Danio rerio: one gene and its partners. The protein of the gene in region 1 interacts with the protein of each later gene in a pairwise test. Links are inferred from orthologs where the notes say so. Each region holds a gene or a part of one and is shown on either strand. Other genes may lie near its edges.

Region 1 (3,500 bases):
AATTAACATGATTATACAAATGATTAATTAATAAATGTACTTAAAATCAGTGAACAAAAAATATTAAAACAATTATAAGAATGCAAATTAAATCATTTTCGTTAGTGATCTCAAACTGGACCATATCTGGACTAAATTTAGATCCTGCTTGATGATAATCGACCATTGGCATGTTGTCTACATGGCGTTTGGCCTGAAGAGTGTCCTGATGGATCTCTATCACTCAGGTCAGGTGTACACGGTCCCTCACTGCTTGTTTTCACTGCCGTGTCTTTTCTTGACCTCTGAAAACATATCAGCTGTCAAATCCACATGAACTCAGTCAGTGGTTCTGCACTGAAAACCCCTGACCACATAATGAATCCTGTTGTTTCAGTTTTATCTGTTCATTGTTTTATAGGCTGGAGTCAAGGGCACTTTAGGAAGACTAGTAGGAATATTTGAGGTAAGTAGGATTTGAAAGCAAGGTTTTTGTATTAAAGCTTGTAAAATGTAATTGTAAAGGGATTTAAATATTGATTTATTCTCAGAATCGAGATAGGAAACACAGAACGTATGTGTACGTTCTCATCGTAACCGAAGTTCTGGAAGATTGGGAGGATTCGGTGAACATTGGTAAGTCCTCCGGGTTAGGATTTGGTAAGATTAATTTTTATTTACATTTTTAAAATATAAATATTATGAAATATTAGAATTCAAAACACCAGTTTCCTGTTTGAATGTACACTCACTGGTCATTTTATTAGGTACTCCTTGCTAGCACCAAGTTGGACCATATTTTTCTTTTAAAACCACCCTAATTTTTGTGGCCTAGATTCAGCAAGGGGATTTTGCTTTATTTTGACATAATTTGTTGGCTGAACATGCGTGATGTGAGTTTCCCATTCCAGCACATTCCAAAAGTGCTCTTTTGGATTGAGATTTGGGGTCTGTTCTGTAAACTTGTGCCGAGTTCAGACTGCTTGATTTTAGCCCCGATTTTGACTCGCCGACAGGTTTGAGAAATCGTCGACAACTGCATGATATCATAGGCAAACCGGTGCTTGTTCATGCGAATAGCAATCACACAGTGTGAACTATCAAATACAGTCAGCTATTTGCCTTGCTAAATATCAGGAGCTGTCTGCGATTCAAATCATGCTGTGTGAAATGAGTTTTGACTGAAAATAAAATCAGCGATCACCCACAGCCAATGAGAGAGCAGCATCCACTAGTATGGGTATCTGCAGGCCAGCGGGAGATTGTGGGAGAAGTTAAAAACATTTTCAGTTTATTTGGACCCAAGAAATCAGGGAAATACTAGTGTAAATTTGGCAACAACGTTGTGATCTGAGCAATATCACAACCGGGTCAAAAAAAAAAAAACTTGAAGAAGAATTGCTAACTCCCGTCAAGTAAAAATGTACATTTTCTACCCCATTGAAGGCTTGTTTCTCGTAATGTAGTTAATAACAAAATAATACTACGTGTGTTTGGTTGTGAAACGTAGTTTGGACAAAGTTGCAAAATGTAAACACTTGTAAACAAAGCAGCGACAAAATGCCAGCCCAGATAGTCATGCTGTGTGAAAACATCTGTGACACGATTACTTTGAAAATCATGCAGTCTGAACTCTGCATTAGCCACCATGTTAAGTCTTGATCTTACAGACTAGTTTTACCAAATACCAGTCAGTTAAGGGGTAAACATCATGCTGATGATTCACAGGGCAACTTTTTGAGCATTGTTGCTTGGCTCCTTTTCTACTAAGAATGGGTAACAATAATATGTGCGTCACCCATTATCCTAATTAGATGCCCGTTTAACTCTTCTTTGACTCTTCTGTAGTTACATCATGTACTAAGACTGATAAAAAAGAAAGGTGGCTATTATATAGGTCAATATGGCAAGAACTATACTCTCATTCCGACGTAATAATCAAGGAACTTTGCTGCTGTACCATAGCTGCAGCAGGCACAAGGCTATTATGCAGTGCTGTTACCTGGCTGGGGACTATTTTCAGGCACTACGTAATATCATTGCGCCTAAAATCTTTCATATTGTAATGCTTTGTTTTAACCCTAAATGCATAGAGTAGCTGCGATGTGATTGGCTGATTCTAAATTTGTTGTAACAAGCAATTGAGTGGGAGTACCTACCTAATAAAGTGACTGGTGAGTGCACAATGTTACTGCATTTGCTAATGCCAACTTATTGGCTTTATAATGTGTGAAATCAAAATTTACAATGTTTGTTTTGCTAGCGCACATTGCTATTCTTTAGGTGAACAATTATTCTTTGCAAGTTAAATGACTGAAAAACGTTTTCAGCCTGATCTCACGAAAAAAATTTTTTTTTTTTTACATTTTGTTAGTTTAATGACTAATTAGTAGTCGTATGAAAATGTACAAATATTTTAAAAGGAGGCATATCACCAAACCCCACCACTAACCCAACCGTCATTGGGGGATAAGAAAATCAGACTAAATTGTACGAATGAGATTGTACAAATTCATTTGAATTAGCCACTAAATCAAAAAATTAAGAATTCCTGTGTGATATTGTTGCATTATTTGCTTCTGCATTTGCAGTGGCGGTCCTTCTCTGTTGATATCCGGCCTCCATAGCAACTGCATAGCAGTATAATTAACCACTCCCCTCTTACCCAGTTTGCGAATTATACATTGATAATCGTGTGTGTGTGTGTGTGGGAGGGGGGGGTCAACTTTTTCAGTAGTAGTTTGGTAATACATGCTTCAGTGAATCTAATTTATGAATGTATTTAAATTACATCTAATTTAAAAATAAAAGGTATACATTTTCAGTTTTTCCATGGATATTTAGTAACTGATCAGTCAACCCCCCCTGTAATTTGCGCCGTTCTCTTACCGTTAGTTTGCTACAAGTGAATGATGTGCAGAAAAGAAAGCCACGCCCCCTATTTAATATTCCATTTCTGTAGGAAGTTCATCAACGTACTGAAATAAAAGTCTTAGCAACTTGTGTGTGTGTGTGTGTGTGTGTGTGTGTGTGTGTGTGTGTGTGTGTGTGTGTGTGTGTGTTAATGTTTTGACAGGGAGAAAAAGGGAATGGTTCAAAATTGACGATGCCATACAAGTGTTGCAGTGTCACAAACCAGTACAGGCCTCTTACTTCACGGCTCTACAGGAAGGCTGTCTGAACAGTAACGGGACGCCCCTGGTGGCCACGATAGGCGGAGGAGACCTGTCACCCACCTACAGCATTAATCAGAGCTCCGTCTCTGATATGAGATAACTAACGCAAAACACAGACACTCCGGATGCTTCCACCACTCTTGCTCTTACTTTCATTGCTCCATTCTTATTATTTTTCTTTCTCACAAAAAAAATCAAACAAAAAGAAATAGACACAATGGTTTGCCAAGGCCTTTTGAGCGCCAAGAAGGTGGCCCAGACATCAAGAGTCGGTGGAATATTCGATGCGTTTTGTAAATGTGATACTTCTGCGCTTTTTTTTCCTCCATGTTTAAATTCTCCTTT
Region 2 (4,235 bases), on another chromosome or scaffold:
CACCAGCCACTTTATTAGATACACCTGTCCAACTGCTTGTTAACACACATTTCTAATCAGCCAATCACATGGCAGCAACTCAATGCATTTAGGCATGTAGACATGGTCAAGATGATCTGCTGCAGTTCAAACTGAGCATCAGAATGGAGAAGAAAGGTGATTTACGTAACTTTGAACGTGGCATGGTTGTTGGTGCCAGACGGGCTGGTCTGAGTATTTCAGAAATTGCTGATATTCTGGGATTTTCATGCACAACCATCTCCAGGGTTTACAGAGAATGATTAGAAAAAGAGAAAATATCTAGTGAGTGGCAGTTCTGTTGGTGCAAATGCCTTGTTGATGCCAGAGGTCAAAGGAGAATGGCCAGACTGGTTCCAGCTGATTAAAAGGCAACAGTAACTCAAATAATCACTCGTTACAACCAAGGTATGTAGAAGAGCATCTCTGAACACACAACACGTCCAACCTTGAGGCAGATGGGCTACAGCAGCAGAAGACCACACCGGGTGCCATTTCTGTCAGCTAAGAACAGGAAACTGAGGCTACAATTCACAAAGGCTAAACAAAATTGGACAATAGAAGATAGGAGAAATGTTGCCTGGTCTGATGAGTCTCCATTTCTGTTGTAACATTCAGATGGTCGGGTCAGAATTTGGCAACAACAACATGAAAGCATCGACCAATCCTGCCTTGTATCAACGGTTCAGGCTGGTGGTGGTGGTGTGATGGTGTGGGGAATTTTTTTTTTGGCACACTTTGGGCCCATTAGTACCAATTGAGCATTATGTCAACTCCCCAGCCTACCTGAGTATTGTTGCTGACCATGTCTATCCCTTAATACCACAGCATGACTCATCTCAGACTGGTTTCTTAAACATGACAATGAGTTCACTGTACTCAAATAGCCTTCACAGTCACCAGATATCAATCCAATAGAGCACCTTATATATATATATATATATATATATATATATATATATATATATATATATATATATATATATATATATATATATATATATATATATTACATAAATTCAATATTTTACATAAATTCAATATTTTAGTTGCCTTTTTGTTACAGTGTGACATTATTAATCCTTATATCTTCTTGAAATAGGAAAAAGTGGTGGTTTATCGTCATAACGTACTTTTCAAGCAAAGCTAGACCTGCTGCTACTTGTCAAAATGGGCGGTCCGGACGTTTTCTCTGATTGGTCAGATGCGAAGAATCCCAATAATCTTTTTGAAGAAGTAATTAAACCATTATTTTCATCAATTCTAACTGAAGTAATAATTATATCTTCAACGCATGACCTTTTATAAATATAAATGATTCTTTATATTATAGCCAAACTAGTCATGCGTTATCACGTGACTTCTGTTACTTTACTCAACGCAAGTGAGAACGGACCAATCACAGCTGCTTGTGCTTACTCGCTCAAAATCCATAGCTTTATTCGCCATTGAATTGCTGTCAGGTCGACTGTTTGTAAACTATGGCTGGCGATAATTTAATGGAGCATACATATGTGAAGCACAAATTCTTCTTTATACTCATATAAATCGGAATAAGTGATGGAATTTGAAATAACGCGCACAAGGCCTTCGCTTTTTGGGGATATTGGTAAGTTAGCATGCCTGTGTGTCTGTTGTTATACATGACAGTTCAGTAAAGATTTGACTGTGCAACTCAGAGTTCACCGTAACTGTACGACACGTTTTCATATAACTGCCGAGATCGGGCTCGATGACATATATTGTTGGCAGACGCGCAGTTTGATCACATGCCGTTTGGCCTTGAATCAGTCACCAATGACAATTAACAGGTTTCTAAAGCCCTGGATCAGTGTGACCTGAGTCAACACACGGATGAGTTTTAGTTACTGTGCTGTACACGGCCTACTACACTGTCCTTTACAGTCGCTTGAAATAATGAGTGAAAATGTCCTTATCTTAATTCCCCAGAGTGCTCAAATTAAGGTAAAGTTGGTAATAGTCACACATTTAGACTTTCCCCGTAAGTTAATAATTCGCAAATTAATTCGTTCATTAATTTTCCTTCGCCTTAGTCCCTTTATTCATCAGGGGTCACCACAGCGGAATGAACTGATAACTTATCCAGCACATGTTTTTAACAGCGGATTCCCTTTCAGCTGCAACCCACTACTGGAACACATCTATACACGCTCATTCATCCAATTCACCTTTACCGCTTGTCTTTGTACTGTGGGGGAAACCGGAGCACCCGGAGGAAACACACGCCAACATGGGGAGAACATGCAAACTCCACAAAGAAATACCAACTGGTCTAGCCGGGACTCAAACCAGCGACCTTCTTGCTGTGAGGCAAGAGTTCTAACCAATGAGCCCCCGTGTAACCTTTATTGCAAATTCTAAATAGTGGTATCATTTTAGCAGCCAATGAATAATCAAAGTACTTCATTGTTCACAGTATAATAAATAGTGCTAATGTTGTTTGGAAGTCATACTTGCATGTGATTTCAGACCCAACATTTAAAGTACCATGGTAAACAATATAAGGAGCAAGTCACAAGTTTTCACTGAACAAGTGTGCAAATATAAAACGAACTTTACGTCAATCGTTTTCAAATGGAGTCATTACAATTTCACTTTGCAGAACACAGCTCTTGCACATGTTGTTGTTGTTGTTGTGTTAGACTTTACAAAATTAGATTTGCTATTTTGCTTTATTTCTTTGGATCATATTTCAGTACATTGCTGTTTTTTCAAACATTCATTAGTTTATTTTCTTTTAGTCCCTAGCTTAGTCCCTTCATTTATTAGTCCCTTTATTTATCAGGGTACTTGTACTTACTATAGTAATATAGTATAGTAATTACCAATAATATGCAGTTACATAATTACATGCAACTAACCCTAAACCTAGCTGTATGCTAACCCTAACCATATAGTAAGATCATGTTATCTATCTATCTATCTATCTGTCTGTCTGTCTGTCTGTCTGTCCGTCCGTCCGTCCGTCCGTCCGTCCGTCCGTCCGTCTAGATTTAGTTGATAAATTTGAATAATTAATTACCAATAAGACTTTTGTATTTACTTGCCTTTGCTTTAAATAATACCATACAATTTTAATATACCATGTAATTTTGTTATTTTTGGTATCACCACGTGCACATGAATTGATAAGTACATATTATTTGTAATATGATTTATTTTTTTATTCTTTTTATTATTATTTTTTATTTATTTATGTGTATCAAAAATGAACACCATATATTACAATACAATGTTTGTGTGTCTGTGTGTGTCTGTGTGTCTGTGTCTGTGTCTGTGTCTGTGTCTGTGTGTGTGTGTGTGTGTGTGTGTGTGTGTGTGTGTGTGTGTGTGTGTGTGTGTGTGTGTGTGTGTTTGTGTGTGTGTGTGTGTGTGTGTGTGTATAAACTGCCAAATTGATATTTTTGCAGTTCACTCTTGTGTATAAATTACATAATGACATATCTGATTGCTGATGCTTCATTTGTAAATCAGTTACGTCCATGTTTTTGTAAAGCTGCATTTTAAAGTTGTTCCCGTCTCTCTATTCTTTCTCTAGCACATGGTTTGGGCTTCTGGACAGATCGTTCTGCAGTGCATGAAGCCGCAGCTCAGGGCAGAGTCGTGCAGCTCCGGAAACTGATCGAGAATGGAGCATCTGTCAACATTGTGGCCGTGGACTCCATCACTCCCCTCCATGAGGCCTGTATTCAGGGCCATACGCAGTGTGTGAAGCTGCTTCTGGATGCTGGAGCTCATGTAAGCAGCATCTCTGTTAGGCATGCGATGATAAATGGTTTCAAGCCGTTTTAAAACTGCAAAAATCTTCTCATAGAATTCCTATGCTATATGTACTTTTTTAGGTGTTTTTTACAACTATTTTATTTTGTTTTTTTAGGGCAACAGTATCTCTAGCAGAAAATGTCCCTCCACATCATAAGCTACTGGTCAGACCACGATTCAGTAAACATAAAAAAAAACAAGTTGCTTATACACCAACATCCAAGCATGCTATAGAGCATGCACTGGTTGAAACTTTTTAACAGAGATTCATTTTGTCCCACATTTAGCCCTTAAAAACTAGTGTGAAGGTGAAGGGCTTTAAAATTTACCCCTAAGAAATGGGAGAGCCCTACAGCACCTGTACACGTCATTATATGTCATCATGATCTCTTGCTTCATATGAGATCAGACGATCGTGTCTGCTGTAGTGATTC
Region 3 (4,014 bases), on another chromosome or scaffold:
GGATATTTGGTGTGGGGAAAGCTGTAGGCAATGAGTAAATCATGCATTACAAATGTAATAGTATTAAAACTCACTGCAATCGATAGAGTATGTACTTAATAAAACATTGCTAATGGTTTTTAAATGGGGTTCTGAAGTATTTGACATTTACAGTACTGACCATCAAGCATCCCAATTGAATAATTCAGAAATCAACTGCTGAGTAATGGGTTGGGCTGTTTAACAAGATTTAAAATCTGAAGCGAAAATTGTTGTGAAAAGTGTTGCTGAGATGCACAGATGTACTGCTTTCATTGGAAAACCCAGTCAGATAGTTTAATGCAGCTAATTCAATATGAACTTGCTTAAGCTGTAGTAAAATCAGTAGCATATATGACAACATGCCTGAAAAACATCAGTCTTAGCTGCATGATTACTCGCATCATATTATAAAAAATATGAAGAGATGAAGACAACCCCTTCAGGCTATTTCTTTTAATAATTTGTATTTTAGGCTTTCCCAGAGAGAGCACTCTTCACTTTCAGAATCTGTTTTAGGGTTGTTTAGAAGAAGGTGCTACTCAATGTCAGCTTGCACATCATTAAATGTATAGTAACAGATGATGGGTGATGTTTACCTGGAGCGTCTCCACCTGCAGGAGCAGCAGCACCAGCAGCGGCAGCAGGAGCAGCTCCACCTCCTGCTCCAACATTACAGATCAGACTGCCGATGTCCACGCTGGCCAGAGCCTGAACACAAGACACATCCCATCAGACTCGAAACAATTAAGCTGCTGTACAGCGCGAGGGCTTAATTCAAGAGCAATTCTCTGCACAGCAGTTTTTAACAGTCACATGTATATAGAAACGTTTAGGATGATTCAATTCATAGTTTATATTTGTTTGCATGCCTATTTGGTTAACAATTTCATATTTTAACATGCATTAAACATGCATAAAATCTGAGTCTTGAATCATACCATCAAGATGCTCTACAGCAGGGGTGTCCAAACTCGGTGCTGGAGGGCCTGCAGAGTTTAGCCCCAACTTCCTTCAACACACCTGCCTGGATGTTTCTAGTATACCTAGAAAGAGCTTGATAAGCTTGTTCAGGTGTGTTTAATTGGGGTTGGAACTAAAATGTGCAGGACACCAGCCATCCAAGACTGAGTTCGAGCACCCCTGCACTACAGCATGAGGACTTAATGATGGAAGGCATTCACATTTATCTCTCCATCATCCTCCTGTCAGATGTGAAATAAACTTGCCTTAGCGAAGAGACCAGGCCAGAAGGGTTCGATGGTCACACCGGCAGCCTTGATCAGAGCGTTCAGCTTGTCCTCCTGAAAAACACATTCAGAGAGAGTTCATATCAGTGCATCAACTCATTTAATGCAAATACTGTGCAAGACAATAGCAGCGATCAGATCAAAGCAGCAAAATTATTTGTAAGGTTATGGTTTTTGAGATGCTACAATAATATTTGTAGGTCATTACGCCCCCGAACATGCTTTAAATTCACCTCTAATAGTCTCATTCACTTGTTGGTGAAAGTTTTGATTGTGATGTTTGTTATTAGAATATACACTGAGTTATTAAAACAACATCAGAAAAATAATTAATTGGCTAAGTGCAAATCATGCAGCGTATAATTAGACCATTTCAATGTGGTTATGTCATTGGCCCGTGAACATTTCCTGCTTATCAAACCATTTCATAACTGTAACAGGCAGGTCAATCATAACTTAATGTTAAAGCAGCTATCATAACTATCAATTTTGAGTTCTTGAAAGCTATACAAATTTAAAATGCAAAACTGAAAACATGTTGGAACCTTATTTTTTTGTTTACATACCTCAAAATGGTCTACATGTTTTATCTTGATAGACTACTTGGACATGGACTATAACTATTTTTTATGCATTGTAAAGAATTGAAGTACTTGATTATGGTCTTATTCAGCAAATAACAAGATATAAATCTCAACGAATAAGCTACATTGGTGCAGTTATTCAACTAAAAACTGTCAATAAAAAAAAAACCTGTAAACAATCTCCACAACTAAGATGAATGAACTACACACGTACTTTTCACAACATCATTAATTGAGTCTTGCTTTAAGGTGTAAAAAGAATAAACTTTTAAAAGACAGTCTAAAGCTTAAATATTTACACTTTTTTACATGACCATGATAACTAATGCATGCTTATTTAGGAAATACTGTATTAATGAATACCAGCACATGTCAACTGACCAACTTATCTAGTCTTTAGCCTACTAGCTAAAGTGCTAATGTGTCATTAGCATGATACAGGGATGCTAACTTACCAGGTGCTGATAGCTAGTACGTTCAGTTATGCGTGTTTACAGCCACAATGTGAACATTTATCTGAAGTATTTAAGCCGTACAGGATAACGACAGGAAGCGCGCGAAAATGTGCTATAACGTGCTTACTGCTATTCACACAAACACAGCGACTTAACTATCTAATAACACACCAAACATGTGATGTAATTGAACTAGCAAACGCAGAAATACTAAATTAGCACAAAAATCAGGGTAGCATGCGAGAACCGTAGCGGTTGAGTCCCGGATGTTCACGTTTCGCCGGTTAGGAGCTCAACACTCACCGTGACGGTAACTTCATCGTCGTGGAGGATCAGAGCGGAGTAAATACAGGCGAGTTCGGACACAGATGCCATCGTTCTTTCGGTAGGTTAAGTTTTTTGGTGCGGATGGGCAAATTTGACGGTGCTAGTCGCCGGATTGAAGGCCTTAGCTTCGGGAGAAGAACCGAGCACCTCAAATGCTGCGATCTCAGTAAACGGAAAGGGCCGGAAAAGGGTGGAGCGAAGACTTATATAGACTTGTGCGTCACTTCAGTGGGCGAGACAAGTGAAGAAAACAAAAGCTGTGATTGGTTCGTTTGTGATGTCAGTTATTCGCTGTGTATATGTGCTCACGACAGCGCTGACTAGTGAATGAATTAATGAATAAATGAGTATATAAATATATAAATTTAAAATCATATTTAAAATCGTTTACGTGACTGTACTCGGTATTTTATTAGACTTTTGCTTTACTTTGTAATATTAGTGAGGAGCCTTTTAATCTATGGTACTTGTACCGAAGTATAGAATACCAGTAATATTAAGTAGCTATCTATTTTATTATTTATTTATATATCAAATTCCATGATACTGTAAAATTCCCATACTTCGTTTAAGTTATTTACATGGTACTGTAACGAACCGAACTGTCTTAAACCTTTAGTATTATGCTACAGTACTTTTGTCTTATAGAAGTTTTGTAATTCTGAATGTAATTAATTGTGTAGACACATGCCTGGTGATTTTGTATGCACTAAGAGTTCACTTCATGCCCAATAAATAAATAAAACAAAAATGAATGACTATTAAAGCATATATATATATATATATATGTATATATATATATAAAACGACTGTAATAATAAATATAAAATAAATAATATCAGCGACTGTATAATAAATATAAAATAAATAATATCAGCGACTGTATAATAAATATAAAATAAATAATATCAATCACCGTAATAAAAATATAAAAGAAAATGTAAAAAATATCAGAAACTGTAATGAAGCCTTTTAAAATGAATTAAATCAGCGATTGTAATGTCATATAAAATGAACCAGAAACTGTAATAAAGCATATAAAATATAATAATCTAGACAGCCTGTGTAATAAAGTCTCTTTAATTGAGCAGTTTAATCACAGAAACACTTAATGGAATGAACCAAAAACAAACAAACAGACACATCATCGTCATCATCATCATCCTCTCTGAACACACAAACAACAGTCATGTTACTCAAATTAATCCAACAAAAAAGCCATAATCAGTCCGAACCTCTGCTCGTTTGGCACCCTTGAGATATGCTCTTAATTCAAAACACTATCTGAGACTGAATGGAAAAGCCCCATCCAAATACATTCTGTAAAAATGAAACCAATCTCTCCAGCTTCCGGAGCTGTGTGTGTGTGTCTCAGTCCAA

The links.
Region 2: the proteins of nudt3b (region 1) and asb13b interact in a two-hybrid assay, tested with the Homo sapiens proteins (2 studies listed by BioGRID and IntAct). The link is inferred for Danio rerio from reciprocal best matches to the Homo sapiens genes NUDT3 and ASB13.
Region 3: the proteins of nudt3b (region 1) and rplp1 interact in a two-hybrid assay, tested with the Homo sapiens proteins (2 studies listed by BioGRID and IntAct). The link is inferred for Danio rerio from reciprocal best matches to the Homo sapiens genes NUDT3 and RPLP1.

What each region holds. Positions count from the first base shown.
Region 1 is NC_133181.1:56,862,375-56,865,874, forward strand, and holds the end of nudt3b (diphosphoinositol polyphosphate phosphohydrolase 1), read left to right. Parts: intron 1-400; coding exon 401-445; intron 446-530; coding exon 531-615; coding exon of another isoform or gene 616-639; intron 640-3,055; coding exon 3,056-3,255; 3' UTR 3,256-3,349; downstream 3,350-3,500. UniProt on the Homo sapiens protein: Cleaves a beta-phosphate from the diphosphate groups in PP-InsP5 (diphosphoinositol pentakisphosphate) and [PP]2-InsP4 (bisdiphosphoinositol tetrakisphosphate), suggesting that it may play a role in signal transduction.
Region 2 is NC_133183.1:12,719,846-12,724,080, reverse strand, and holds the start of asb13b (ankyrin repeat and SOCS box protein 13), read left to right. Parts: upstream 1-1,435; 5' UTR 1,436-1,578; coding exon 1,579-1,627; intron 1,628-3,577; coding exon 3,578-3,777; intron 3,778-4,235. UniProt on the Homo sapiens protein: May be a substrate-recognition component of a SCF-like ECS (Elongin-Cullin-SOCS-box protein) E3 ubiquitin-protein ligase complex which mediates the ubiquitination and subsequent proteasomal degradation of target proteins.
Region 3 is NC_133194.1:2,214,000-2,218,013, forward strand, and holds the start of rplp1 (large ribosomal subunit protein P1), read right to left. Parts: upstream 2,801-4,014; 5' UTR 2,683-2,800; coding exon 2,611-2,682; intron 1,323-2,610; coding exon 1,248-1,322; intron 730-1,247; coding exon 618-729; intron 1-617. UniProt on the Homo sapiens protein: Plays an important role in the elongation step of protein synthesis.